Linked DNA regions of Saccharomyces cerevisiae S288C. The gene in region 3 interacts genetically with the main gene of each other region. Each region holds a gene or a part of one and is shown on either strand. Other genes may lie near its edges. The genes, in order: MOT3, ROX1 and UTR5.

What was found.
Region 1: of UTR5 (region 3) and MOT3, a mutation in one rescues a mutant of the other (synthetic rescue), as found in Saccharomyces cerevisiae (one study listed by BioGRID).
Region 2: of UTR5 (region 3) and ROX1, a mutation in one rescues a mutant of the other (synthetic rescue), as found in Saccharomyces cerevisiae (2 studies listed by BioGRID, with this or other methods).

What each region holds. Positions count from the first base shown.
Region 1 is NC_001145.3:406,206-410,753, reverse strand, and holds MOT3 (Mot3p), read right to left. Parts: upstream 1,601-4,548; coding exon 128-1,600; downstream 1-127. Other genes in the region: NAT4 (N-terminal L-serine N(alpha)-acetyltransferase NatD), read right to left, coding at 2,188-3,045; AVO2 (Avo2p), read right to left, coding at 3,170-4,450. UniProt on the Saccharomyces cerevisiae protein: Transcription factor that affects the expression of a large set of genes. Recognizes and binds to the consensus sequence 5'-[CAT]AGG[TC]A-3' in the promoter region. Plays a major role in the repression of a specific subset of hypoxic genes (e.g.
Region 2 is NC_001148.4:677,693-682,240, forward strand, and holds ROX1 (Rox1p), read left to right. Parts: upstream 1-2,000; coding exon 2,001-3,107; downstream 3,108-4,548. Other genes in the region: YPR063C (uncharacterized protein), read right to left, coding at 120-501, 588-628; YPR064W (uncharacterized protein), read left to right, coding at 1,259-1,678; NEDD8-activating protein UBA3, read left to right, coding at 3,521-4,420; ISA2 (Isa2p), read left to right, coding at 4,528-4,548. UniProt on the Saccharomyces cerevisiae protein: Transcription factor that represses the expression of HEM13, COX5B, ANB1, CYC7 or AAC3 (hypoxic function). Binds to the DNA sequence 5'-RRRTAACAAGAG-3'.
Region 3 is NC_001137.3:84,286-88,168, forward strand, and holds UTR5 (Utr5p), read right to left. Parts: upstream 1,261-3,883; coding exon 760-1,260; downstream 1-759. Other genes in the region: ANP1 (Anp1p), read right to left, coding at 1-267; HYP2 (translation elongation factor eIF-5A), read left to right, coding at 1,391-1,864; MTC7 (Mtc7p), read left to right, coding at 1,894-2,313; MCM DNA helicase complex subunit MCM3, read left to right, coding at 2,652-3,883.

The DNA.
Region 1 (4,548 bases), on a different chromosome or scaffold from region 3:
GTACCATACATAAACTATATGTATATAATGTATATATGCATAATTACTTTCTAAATTTGTGATTATTACTATTATCTTGATTGTTAAATGAGTGGGAAGGGATATTTTGTGTGTCTATAAAGTCTATCTATTTGTTGTGACTAACAATAAGGTTATTCAAAACACGTTTAACGTCGTCCTTATTCAGTACACCATCATTGATTAAAGTCTTGATGTTTGTATCGTAACCGTTTCCATCTTCATTTTCGGGAGCTGTTGCTGCTGCCGCCGCGGCACCGGCACCGCCACTGCCGCTAGCGCTATTGCTGTTATTATTATTATTATTGTCGTTGTTATTATTAGAGGAGGAAGAATTGTTGTAGTTAAAGATGATGTTGTTTTTCTTGAGTTCGTCTAATAAATAATTTGTATGCTTGAGTTTCATATGCTGTAAAAGATTATCTTTTCTCTTCTGCCTGCTTAAGCACCAAGGGCATAGAAAATGTCTTTGTTGCGAGTGTGACAATAGGTGCCTTTTCAACCATGATTTTCTTTTGAAAGACTTCTCACAAAATTGGCATTGATGGATATATTTATGGTCTGATGATGGGGCAGGAACCAAGTTCGAGGCCACAGGGTTCGAAGAAGGCACCGGCGCAGGGGGATGGTTAGGTGCTGTCGTAGGACGTGGTTGCGGCATAGTGTTTATTTTCCAACCAGGAGGTAGATGCAGAGGTTGTGCCGGGTTAATATTGAGATTCAAATTTGGAGAAGGGTTTTGTTGTAGTTGGAATTGAAATTGATCCGTTATTATCGTTGGATGGTGCTGAGGAGCGTTGTTTGTATTTACAGCACCACCATTGTTGAGGTTGTTGTGTGTATTACTATGATGGTGATGGTGATGGGGTGGACCGGGGGCCGGGGCTGGGGCTGAGTGAGAAGAGTTGTTGCTGCCATTGTTAGCGGCGTTATTACCATTGTTATTGCTGTTAACTGCTGAATAGTAATGGCTTATGTATGAAGCAGGATTGAACATATATTGTTGATCCTGTTGCGGTATTGGCATATTCGCAGTGGGGAAGGAGTAATAAGCAGCCGCTGCAGCATTTGAGTTCATATTTGCGGCCGCAGTAAACTGGTTTGGGTGAATATTATTGTTATTATTGTTGTTATTATTATTATTATTGTTATTATTGCTAGTACTGTTGTTTGCGACAGTGTAATCAGAAGCAGAAATATTGCTGTTGTTGCTGTTGTTGCTGTTGTTATGGACAATCGGCGACGCAGACATATTGTTACCAGCCGTCACATTATTGTTGTTACTGTTATTACTTGTATACTGATAGTAAGGGTATATATACTGCTGCTGATGTAAGGGCATTGGAAGTTCTCTTGCCCCAGAGTTCACCATAACGTCGTCCTTGTTAGAGGAAACAGTAGTCGTGTTGAAAGGCTGTGACGCCAGCGAATCGCTGCCGATATTGTTAGTGTTCGACACATTTTGTAATATCGTGTGCTGCTGCTGTTGATGCTGATGCTGATGCTGTTGTTGTTGATGCTGTTGTTGTTGATGCTGTTGTCGCTGTTGCTGCTGCTGTTGCAGGTGATGGTCCGCATTCATTGCTCAAATATGATATGTCCCTTTACTATTTGCCTACTGTTGCCTATTAGTTTTCCTTCTGTTAAATCTTTTCTTGTACCTGTTCCTTCTTGAGGAATTGTTTTGTTCAAGTTTTCTTCCAAAAAAAATTCCTTTTTTTTCTTTTTTTTTTTGATTGCTACAAGGCCTTAATTCCTATTATTTGTTTCTATTTTTTCTCTCTTTTTTCGTAATTCTTCTTTAACTTTACATCAAAAGAGAGACAAAGTTTAGTAAATCCAGACGGAGTAGTAGTATAAATACTATCCAGCGCAGATCATGACAGGATGATGCGCCTTGGTAGGATAAAAAAAAACAACAGCGGAGGCTACAGCACATCTTTTGAGGAAAAAAAAGAAGAAAATCAAGAAGAAAAACGAAAAAACCGGCAATAAACACCGTTATCGCCACTACTCCTTGCCGTGCGCAGTTATCGGAAGGCGCCGAAGGCGGAGAGCAGGGAGCGTTGTTCGGGTCTCCTCAGTCGGAGTCAAGGATTCGAGTCGCGCCGCCGCGTACGTAGTTTTACTTTTAATTTTTTTTTTATCGCGCGTTGTCCCTGTCGGCTTTCACGGCATGTGAAGGCAATATACGTAATAAAGCGGATCGCAGGGCACGACTACACGTCCCCCACCATGTCGCGTGTGACGAATTGTGGGTGATGCTGGTGCGGGTGATCCCGGAGCGCGGTAGAACCCAAGCGCCTCATATAGTCGCCGGGCCCGAGTGTTATCACTGAATACGGTGAGTGCTACACCGAAGAAATTGTCGCACATGCGGCGGGTGTGTCGAGCTACGCCATCGCACAGTGCATGCTCCAGTAGCCGCCGACCGATTCCATGCCCGCGGTGCGCGCTAGCTACATGTACTTCGTAAAGGTATATCACGGGCACGCTAACCTCGTGTAAAGCGTCACCTTCGACGAGACCCGTCTCCTCTGTAAGCATGAATGAAGTAAATGCACCTAGCACGCCGTTGTCCCAGTAACAGACATACACAAGGCCGGCGCTTTTCATCTCTGCGAGTTTGTTTGCCTTCCATGGTTTCCTGTTGCCGTACATAATGCGCGAGGCCCGGCGATACTTGGCGCCCAGGTGCTTGTCTATCAATTGCACACAGGCGTCCAGCACTTGGTCGCCGCGAGATTTGTGCAGCTTGTAGTTTATACACTTGAGGCTGTCAACGCTGTCAATACTGTCAGTGTCATCTTCGGGGATGTAGATAATCTCCCTTTCTAAAATAGCGGTGGTGAAGTTACCGTTTCCATCTGTATCCTTGTGCTCGATGGATTCAGGAAATTTTTCCACGCATAAGTTTAAGAAATGTTGGAACATTGGCGCCATGGCGACCCTCCTTCTTTCTGTTAGGTGCTCCTTCGATGTTCGTATACAGTTGTAAGTGTTCTCACTATATACCGAAGAACGCATCTCAGTGGAAAGAAAAAGAAAAAAGAAAAAGAGCTAAGAAAAAAATCTTTTAATGGCGCGCGCGCACCGCGCATACATATGTGGAAAAAAGGATGCATATAAAAAAAAATACGTAGTAGTCTTCTCAATCTTCTGCACGCGTGTTATTGCTATTTCTTAATTTTGAGATGGGTATGTTCAGAAGTGACACTCGTCTCCTCGGCTCGCCATTGTTTACCTTAATCTTGTACTTGTTCTCGTTCTCATCGTCCGGGTCCTTTCTTAGTCCCATTCCTATAGTGGCATCACCGCCATTGCCGCCGCCACCGTCATCGTTGATTGTAGCTGTCTGTGAGTCTCCTCTCACGTTGTCATTGCTCTTGTTAGGCAACAAGTATCTATTAATCAACGCGATGTTGTTGTGCGGACTTGTTGGTGTTGCACTGTGTCGTACTGATTCAGATACAAGCTCTTTCTTGGGCGACACACCTACTGGAGTCTTGACGTTGATGGAGTTCACTCTTAGTCTCGAGCTGGAATTTGAGCTTGACGAAAAACTGTCCGTAGACAAGGTTGGTTTTCGTGGGTTGAATACTGGATTTGTGATAGAACTCCTCCGATTCCCACCGTTACCGCTTGTTGTATGCGTTGATATCCTTCTTGGTAATACCGGCAACGGACTATTATTGGAATAGAGCGAATATGGCGAATTCATGCTTAAAACTGGGGAAGGCCCGTCCTCGAAAGTGGCCTTCGCATTTAGTATAGGAGTTCTGAATGAACTTGGTTTTTTGCCTGCACCCAACGGTGGCCCCTTCTTTTTCACCTCTTTTAACACTTTTGAATATATATTACCTACTTCAAACGTTTGTGCTACATCTATTGGCTTCCAATTTCCCTTGTCCCTGACATTATCATCCAAGGACACCTCACCTTCATTGAGAAGCATCTTCATACAACTTATACTGCCATACTCCAGGCATACATGCAGCGGCGTGTCGCCATTAGTGTCCATTACCCATAAATCAGCACCAACTCCTATCAACAGACTCAGACATTGGTAGTAATCGTTCATACATGCTATATGGATGGGGGCTCTACCATTCTCTCCGCGATGGTTGATAAATCGCGGAAATTGTTGCAAAAGTAAATGTAAGGTTTGCTCGTGCCCTTTCATTAATGCTAAATGCACACAGGTGTTTCCTTTAAAGGTTTTTATTAGTTCATGCTTGTCGTGCCCCAGCTGAATTAAATACACGCATATAAGGTATCTTCCATGGTATGAGGCGTAATGTAATGAACTCCATCCGTTCTCTGAGTCTATGTTGGTTAGCAAATCCGGATTCCGTCGCAATAATCTTTTCACTATAAGTAAATTGCCTTCAATAATAGCCTCCCGCAAGCGAACTGAGGGCTCTTTCAACATCTTTTGTTCAATATATCCTCTTTTCTAATGGGCGTTTTTTTTTTTTATTTTTAGGGTCCAGTTGATTTATACATTTTCAATTGTACCAGATCAAAAAA
Region 2 (4,548 bases), on a different chromosome or scaffold from region 3:
ACTACTAGGGAAGACTTGAAAAAAACCTAGGAAATGAAAAAACGACACAGGAAGTCCCGTATTTACTATTTTTTCCTTCCTTTTGATGGGGCAGGGCGGAAATAGAGGATAGGATAAGCCTACTGCTTAGCTGTTTCCGTCTCTACTTCGGTAGTTGTCTCAATTGTCGTTTCAGTATTACCTTTAGAGCCGCTAGACGATGGTTGAGCTATTTGTTGAGGGAAAACTAAGTTCATGTAACACACGCATAACCCGATTAAACTCATGAATAGCTTGATTGCAGGAGGCTGGTCCATTGGAGATGGTGCCTTATTTTCCTTATAGGCAACGATGATGTCTTCGTCGGTGTTCAGGTAGTAGTGTACACTCTGAATCAGGGAGAACCAGGCAATGAACTTGTTCCTCAAGAAAATAGCGGCCATAGGCATGGATTGGTTAACCACACCAGATATGCTTGGTGTGGCAGAATATAGTCCTTTTGGTGGCGCAATTTTCTTGTACCTGTGGTAGAAAGGGAGCGGTTGAACTGTTAGTATATATTGGCAATATCAGCAAATTTGAAAGAAAATTGTCGGTGAAAAACATACGAAACACAAAGGTCGGGCCTTGCAACGTTATTCAAAGTCATTGTTTAGTTGAGGAGGTAGCAGCGGAGTATATGTATTCCTTTTTTTTGCCTATGGATGTTGTACCATGCCCATTCTGCTCAAGCTTTTGTTAAAATTATTTTTCAGTATTTTTTCTTCCATGTTGCGCGTTACGAGAACAGAAGCGACAGATAACCGCAATCATACAACTAGCGCTACTGCGGGGTGTAAAAAGCACAAGAACTAAGCCAAGATCACAACAGTTATCGATAAAATAGCAGTGTTTGCATGGCCATTGAGAAGGACAACATTGGCGTGCGCGCCAATGTTGTCTCACCATGTAGCTCCAAACGAGTTGTAAGAGACGGACCGCTCACGCTTCCGAAGCGGTCAGAAAACGCTTCCCAGTATGCAGTTGACCTACATTCAACCTGCAAATATTGCTTTGCTTCAAGAAATGATTACACAGACGTCTATTTTCTTCTACATAATGCACGAAACTTGGGCATTTAGTCATGTAGCCGCCTAGCGAGCCTGGGTGCCGTCCTATCTCCTTTGTTCGTGCAAAGAGACAGGAACACACACTGCGTTCTCTTGCGGCCGGTCTGGCGGACTCAGGGGTGCGGCGTTTGCTTAACCGGAGGGAATAATAAAATCGGGGTGACGCAAGTATGAAGTCATGTGTGCTTAGCAATTACGTAGAGGGATTAGAAATAATAGTGTGCGGTTATCGGAACCGGCTCTTGTTCCCGTTTAGAGCAACCCAGGTGCAGGCGTACTTTAAAGTATTTTCTTTCTTTTTTTTCCTGCTACTTACGCTAGGAGCTGCCGCAGCTGCAAAGCCGACGTCGGAGAGGCAGGTGATCTTCGGCTCGGCCGACAAATCCCCTGGATATCATTGGCCTGTCGAGGTATCGGCCGCGTGGAACTACCGGGAATTACTATGCAAAACAATTGGAAATCTGGTAGGAAAACCTTGTTCTAGAACTTGGCGATTGCTGACAAAGAAGAAAAGGGCCTATTGTTGCTGCCTCTTTTGTTGTTCTTCCTCGTATTGTCTTGCCGGTGTTCTTTGTGTCTTTTGTGTGTAGGTTCTTACTATTATAGTGCTCTTTGCTATTATATTTTCTTCGTTTTCACTTTGCGTAATGTAACGGTCTTAAACAAAGTTTTTTTTTTTTCGCTCTTGCATTTTCCTTTTCTGCTCTATCTTATTTGCTAATTGTAGTTTCAGAAGTTTTACTTAAATATAGCACTATTTTCCAGTTTTAATGTTTCTTCTCATTGCTTTCTTTTATAATTTTCGCATATAATTATACATTTACGGTGTCTTAACTCTCCCTCTTCACCCCTCATTATTCCAGAAAATACTAATACTTCTTCACACAAAAGAACGCAGTTAGACAATCAACAATGAATCCTAAATCCTCTACACCTAAGATTCCAAGACCCAAGAACGCATTTATTCTGTTCAGACAGCACTACCACAGGATCTTAATAGACGAATGGACCGCTCAAGGTGTGGAAATACCCCATAATTCAAACATTTCTAAAATTATTGGTACGAAGTGGAAGGGCTTACAACCGGAAGATAAGGCACACTGGGAAAATCTAGCGGAGAAGGAGAAACTAGAACATGAAAGGAAGTATCCTGAATACAAATACAAGCCGGTAAGAAAGTCTAAGAAGAAGCAACTACTTTTGAAGGAAATCGAGCAACAGCAGCAGCAACAACAGAAAGAACAGCAGCAGCAGAAACAGTCACAACCGCAATTACAACAGCCCTTTAACAACAATATAGTTCTTATGAAAAGAGCACATTCTCTTTCACCATCTTCCTCGGTGTCAAGCTCGAACAGCTATCAGTTCCAATTGAACAATGATCTTAAGAGGTTGCCTATTCCTTCTGTTAATACTTCTAACTATATGGTCTCCAGATCTTTAAGTGGACTACCTTTGACGCATGATAAGACGGCAAGAGACCTACCACAGCTGTCATCTCAACTAAATTCTATTCCATATTACTCAGCTCCACACGACCCTTCAACGAGACATCATTACCTCAACGTCGCTCAAGCTCAACCAAGGGCTAACTCGACCCCTCAATTGCCCTTTATTTCATCCATTATCAACAACAGCAGTCAAACACCGGTAACTACAACTACCACATCCACAACAACTGCGACATCTTCTCCTGGGAAATTCTCCTCTTCTCCGAACTCCTCTGTACTGGAGAACAACAGATTAAACAGTATCAACAATTCAAATCAATATTTACCTCCCCCTCTATTACCTTCTCTGCAAGATTTTCAACTGGATCAGTACCAGCAGCTAAAGCAGATGGGACCAACTTATATTGTCAAACCACTGTCTCACACCAGGAACAATCTATTGTCCACAACTACCCCTACGCATCATCACATTCCTCATATACCAAACCAAAACATTCCTCTACATCAAATTATAAACTCAAGCAACACTGAGGTCACCGCTAAAACTAGCCTAGTTTCTCCGAAATGATTTTTTTTTTCCATTTCTTCTTTCCGTTATATTATATTATACTATATTCCCTTTAACTAAAAATTTATGCATTTGGCTCCTGTTTAATAAAAGTTTAAATCGCCTCAAAAGAACAATTGAAAAATATGTAAAATAACAGCAAATAAAAGTCAAAATTAAAACAAAGTACCCAGAGACAAAAAAGAAAGAAAAGAAAAAAGAAACAGTCTACAAATTCTATTTGAATATATAAAATTATATTCTCAATTTTCACGTATATATTCACCTCACAAATAATATCATTCCTTTAAAAAAAAATATGTATTATTGTATAATGTTTCAGCATAGTCGTTTTTTAAGCCCTTTTTTTTAAACTTAAAAAACAAATCAATGAGATATTGTATACCTATATTATCGATAATAAAGCGACGAGGATGGACTGCAAGATATTGGTGTTAGGCGCAGGTGGTCTAGGATGCGAAATCCTGAAGAATTTGACAATGTTAAGCTTTGTTAAACAGGTTCATATTGTAGATATAGACACAATCGAGCTAACCAACCTTAATAGACAATTTCTTTTTTGTGATAAGGACATAGGCAAACCGAAAGCTCAAGTGGCAGCCCAGTATGTAAACACGCGGTTCCCTCAATTGGAAGTTGTGGCGCACGTACAGGACCTGACCACTTTGCCCCCGAGCTTTTACAAAGACTTCCAGTTCATAATCTCGGGGCTGGACGCCATTGAACCTCGTCGCTTCATCAATGAGACTCTCGTGAAGCTTACCTTGGAGTCCAATTATGAAATTTGCATCCCGTTCATAGATGGTGGAACAGAGGGGCTCAAGGGACATGTAAAAACAATCATTCCAGGCATCACTGCATGCTGGGAGTGCTCCATTGATACCTTGCCCTCGCAGCAGGATACTGTGCCAATGTGTACAATCGCCAACAATCCTCGCTGCATTGAGCATGTTGTGGAGTATGTCTCAACTATACAATACCCTGATTTAAATATTGAGTCTACGGCGGATATGGAATTTCTGCTGGAGAAGTGCTGCGAAAGGGCTGCCCAATTTAGCATCTCAACAGAAAAATTATCAACAAGTTTTATCCTGGGTATAATAAAGAGTATCATACCTAGTGTAAGCACTACGAATGCGATGGTTGCAGCGACATGCTGTACGCAGATGGTTAAGATTTATAATGATTTAATCGACCTGGAAAACGGCAATAATTTCACTTTGATTAACTGCTCAGAAGGGTGTTTTATGTACAGTTTCAAGTTCGAGCGGTTACCCGACTGTACTGTTTGTTCAAATTCCAATTCCAACTAGTATTACTAATGAATAATACCATCCGCCGGTGTCACTTGTTTAAACATCTTGCAAGTAAGTCGAGATCCTAGAGAGCCTTGTACATGTGATTGCACAGTAAAGAAGGTATGCAGGCTAAATTATTGTTT
Region 3 (3,883 bases):
CAGTGGCACGCAAAACAAGATGCGGTCACCCTGTTGCCAACCATCTTTGTTGCCTTGGTAATTTCGTAGGTCGTAGAACTCTACGCTGGGAGTATTTTTAAAATCTGGAACATAGGGCTTGAAGATTCCTTGGAAAGTTACCAGCTGGAATAGCGATATCGAGAAGAACGAAAGCACGAGTCTTGTGAGAAAGAACACCGTAAGCAACGTTCCAGCGATACTTACTGTGGTAGGGTTGAACGAGAGTTTTCTGTTATTATACTTCATTATGGACGTACACTTTGCATGAAAGCCACAAGGAACTGTTTAATGGAGCGAAAAAAAGATGATGAGGGTAAATCGCACCAACACTCGCCTAGCAACTGAGTGATGAATGGTTTTGCAATGCTTGCTGTCTCTACTAACAGATCTTGGCGTTTTTGAATCGTGTAGTTATTTTTATTTATTTTTTTTATTTCATGTTTTCATGATTTCATCTTACGCAATTTTTTCACGATGAGACAAGGCGGGCGACCCCACACAAGAGGAAAATTGAACACAATGCGTTGGTAAAGGGATTACGAATTGATTAAACCAACATAGTGAGACAAGAAAAGAAAAGAAAAGAAAAGGAAAATGAAAAAAAATAAAAAAAAGAAGGCAACTAGACCAGATGAGCCCGGTTCATTTCTATTCTCTGCAGTCACTGCTATTTTCATCAACAGCGCAGGCCAAGTTGAACGAGATAGTAGCAATCGTAAAAGGAACTAGCTAACTTCATCATGAAAGTTTACCCTTTCTTGCCGCTACCCTTCTCGTTTGGCTGGTATTAGAGCACAGCGGATATATCCGGCTCAACAGTATAAGTAACGATAAGTCCTGACCATTGGCTTCGTTCTGGTGGCATTTTCTCTGAGGGGTGAGAACAGCAAAACGGGAACGGCGACTTGGAGTAGTATAACGCTGTAGCTGGACGCTGAGGGGCCAAGGCCGGTAAAATTCTGCAACACCCAGACCTTGCTGCAGTGATATCATCCACCCATACCCCTCGATGTATTCCGTAGCGTTATATCGGGTCCGTGTGAGGCGACAAGGGACCTCCCGCACCGCACATACCGCAGGAGCTAAAAGAAACGCCGTCGCCCGAAAAAAAGTTTCGAAGGTGAAGGAACAGTGGTAATAAAAATTTTTTTCGTCGTCGTCGTCGATCGGCTTTTGGCCGCGTTGATCGTCGTGTTCCACGATTATATAATGCACAAGGTTTTTGCCATATCTTGACATTGGAATCCCTCATTTCCTAAATTCCTCTCCTTCTATCAATTGCTTCCTTTCCTTCTTTCTAACGATTCTACTTCTGTAGCCAATTACTCATAGACTCCCAAACACACACAAATACCAACTCATATATACAATGTCTGACGAAGAACATACCTTTGAAACTGCTGACGCTGGTTCCTCCGCCACCTACCCAATGCAATGTTCTGCCTTGAGAAAGAACGGTTTCGTTGTCATCAAGAGTAGACCATGTAAGATTGTCGACATGTCCACTTCTAAGACTGGTAAGCACGGTCACGCTAAAGTCCATTTGGTTGCCATTGATATCTTCACTGGTAAGAAGTTGGAAGATTTGTCTCCATCTACTCACAACATGGAAGTTCCAGTTGTCAAGAGAAACGAATACCAATTGTTGGACATTGATGACGGTTTCTTGTCTTTGATGAACATGGACGGTGACACTAAGGATGATGTCAAGGCTCCAGAAGGTGAATTGGGTGACAGTTTGCAAACTGCTTTTGATGAAGGTAAGGACTTGATGGTTACCATCATCTCCGCTATGGGTGAAGAAGCCGCCATCTCCTTCAAGGAAGCTGCTAGAACCGATTAAACCGGTTAACATCATGGCATGGGATATAAATGAAAAAAGAAAAAAAAACTCCGACGCCCCTTCCATCACATCATGTACTCTTCGCTGAACCGGGTTTTTTTCTTTGCAATTTTTTTTTCGTTCTCCTAAAGCATACACAAATAAATCCTTTTTTTTATTTTCTATTTATTTTGTTATTTATCATCTATATAGCAATAATATACTTTGTTTTTATTCGTATTTCACACTTTTCTTTTTCCTTATGCAGGCAGTGTAATTCATTGGGGAGGATGATTTTCATGTGCGCATATCTACCGGCTGCAAGCAGCCGGTCGGTGGCAAATCCGGCGCTTCCCCCTCAAAAAAAAAAAAAAAAAAAAAAAAAGGGAACTCTCAGAACGGGGGAGGTTGAAGAGCAGGCCAAGGGAAATATTAGTTTTGACCTATGTGGGAAACAGAATTTTCAATGAGTTATGGCAACTTGGCCGAGTGGTTAAGGCGAAAGATTAGAAATCTTTTGGGCTTTGCCCGCGCAGGTTCGAGTCCTGCAGTTGTCGTTATTTTTCTCTTTTTTTTCAATTTCCCTTGTTCGTCAGATCGAGGCGGTAGAAGAAACAATTACTTTTCCTAAATGGGTAAAAACTCGTGTTTTAGGAAAAAAAAGAAAAATTTGGTCAAAACTCGAAAGATAGGTTCTTAATCTTCTTTCAAGTTGAAAAGGCCTACGCTCTTTTCCTTGAAGCATTTTCATCCTACTGCTCGTATTGAACTCCACTATAAGCGCACCAAAAAGATACAAACGTCAATTATGGAAGGCTCAACGGGATTTGATGGAGACGCTACTACTTTTTTCGCTCCAGACGCTGTGTTTGGTGACAGAGTGCGCAGATTTCAAGAGTTTTTAGATACTTTCACCTCATACAGAGACTCTGTAAGGTCCATACAAGTTTACAACAGCAATAACGCGGCCAACTACAACGATGATCAAGATGACGCAGACGAACGAGATTTGCTAGGTGATGACGACGGTGATGATCTTGAAAAGGAAAAGAAAGCAGCATCGTCCACCTCATTGAATATACTCCCTCACAGGATTATCATCTCGCTTGATGACTTGAGAGAATTCGACAGGTCGTTCTGGTCGGGCATTTTAGTCGAACCAGCATACTTCATCCCGCCTGCCGAAAAGGCGCTTACTGACCTAGCAGATTCCATGGACGATGTTCCACATCCCAATGCCTCTGCAGTATCGTCTCGCCATCCTTGGAAGCTTTCGTTCAAAGGCTCATTTGGTGCACACGCATTGTCTCCTCGTACTCTAACGGCACAACATTTAAACAAACTGGTCTCTGTTGAGGGTATCGTAACTAAGACTTCGTTGGTCAGGCCAAAGCTTATCAGATCTGTCCACTACGCGGCAAAGACTGGTAGATTCCATTACAGAGATTATACAGATGCTACTACAACTCTCACCACCCGCATCCCAACGCCTGCCATCTATCCAACGGAGGACACTGAAGGTAACAAACTAACCACCGAATATGGGTATAGTACGTTCATAGACCATCAGCGTATCACTGTGCAAGAAATGCCCGAAATGGCCCCCGCTGGCCAACTTCCCAGGTCCATTGACGTCATTCTCGATGACGACCTTGTGGACAAGACCAAGCCAGGTGACAGAGTTAACGTTGTCGGGGTATTCAAGTCGCTTGGTGCTGGTGGCATGAACCAGTCCAACTCTAATACATTGATCGGGTTCAAAACTCTGATCCTAGGTAATACGGTGTATCCTCTCCACGCCAGATCCACGGGTGTCGCTGCGAGACAAATGTTGACAGATTTCGATATAAGAAATATCAATAAACTATCCAAAAAAAAGGACATTTTCGATATCTTGTCTCAATCTTTAGCGCCTTCTATTTATGGACATGACCATATAAAGAAAGCCATTTTATTGATGCTCATGGGAGGTGTGGAGAAAAATTTAGAAAATGGCTCGCATTTAAGAGGTGACATCAATATCCTAATGGTGGGTGATCC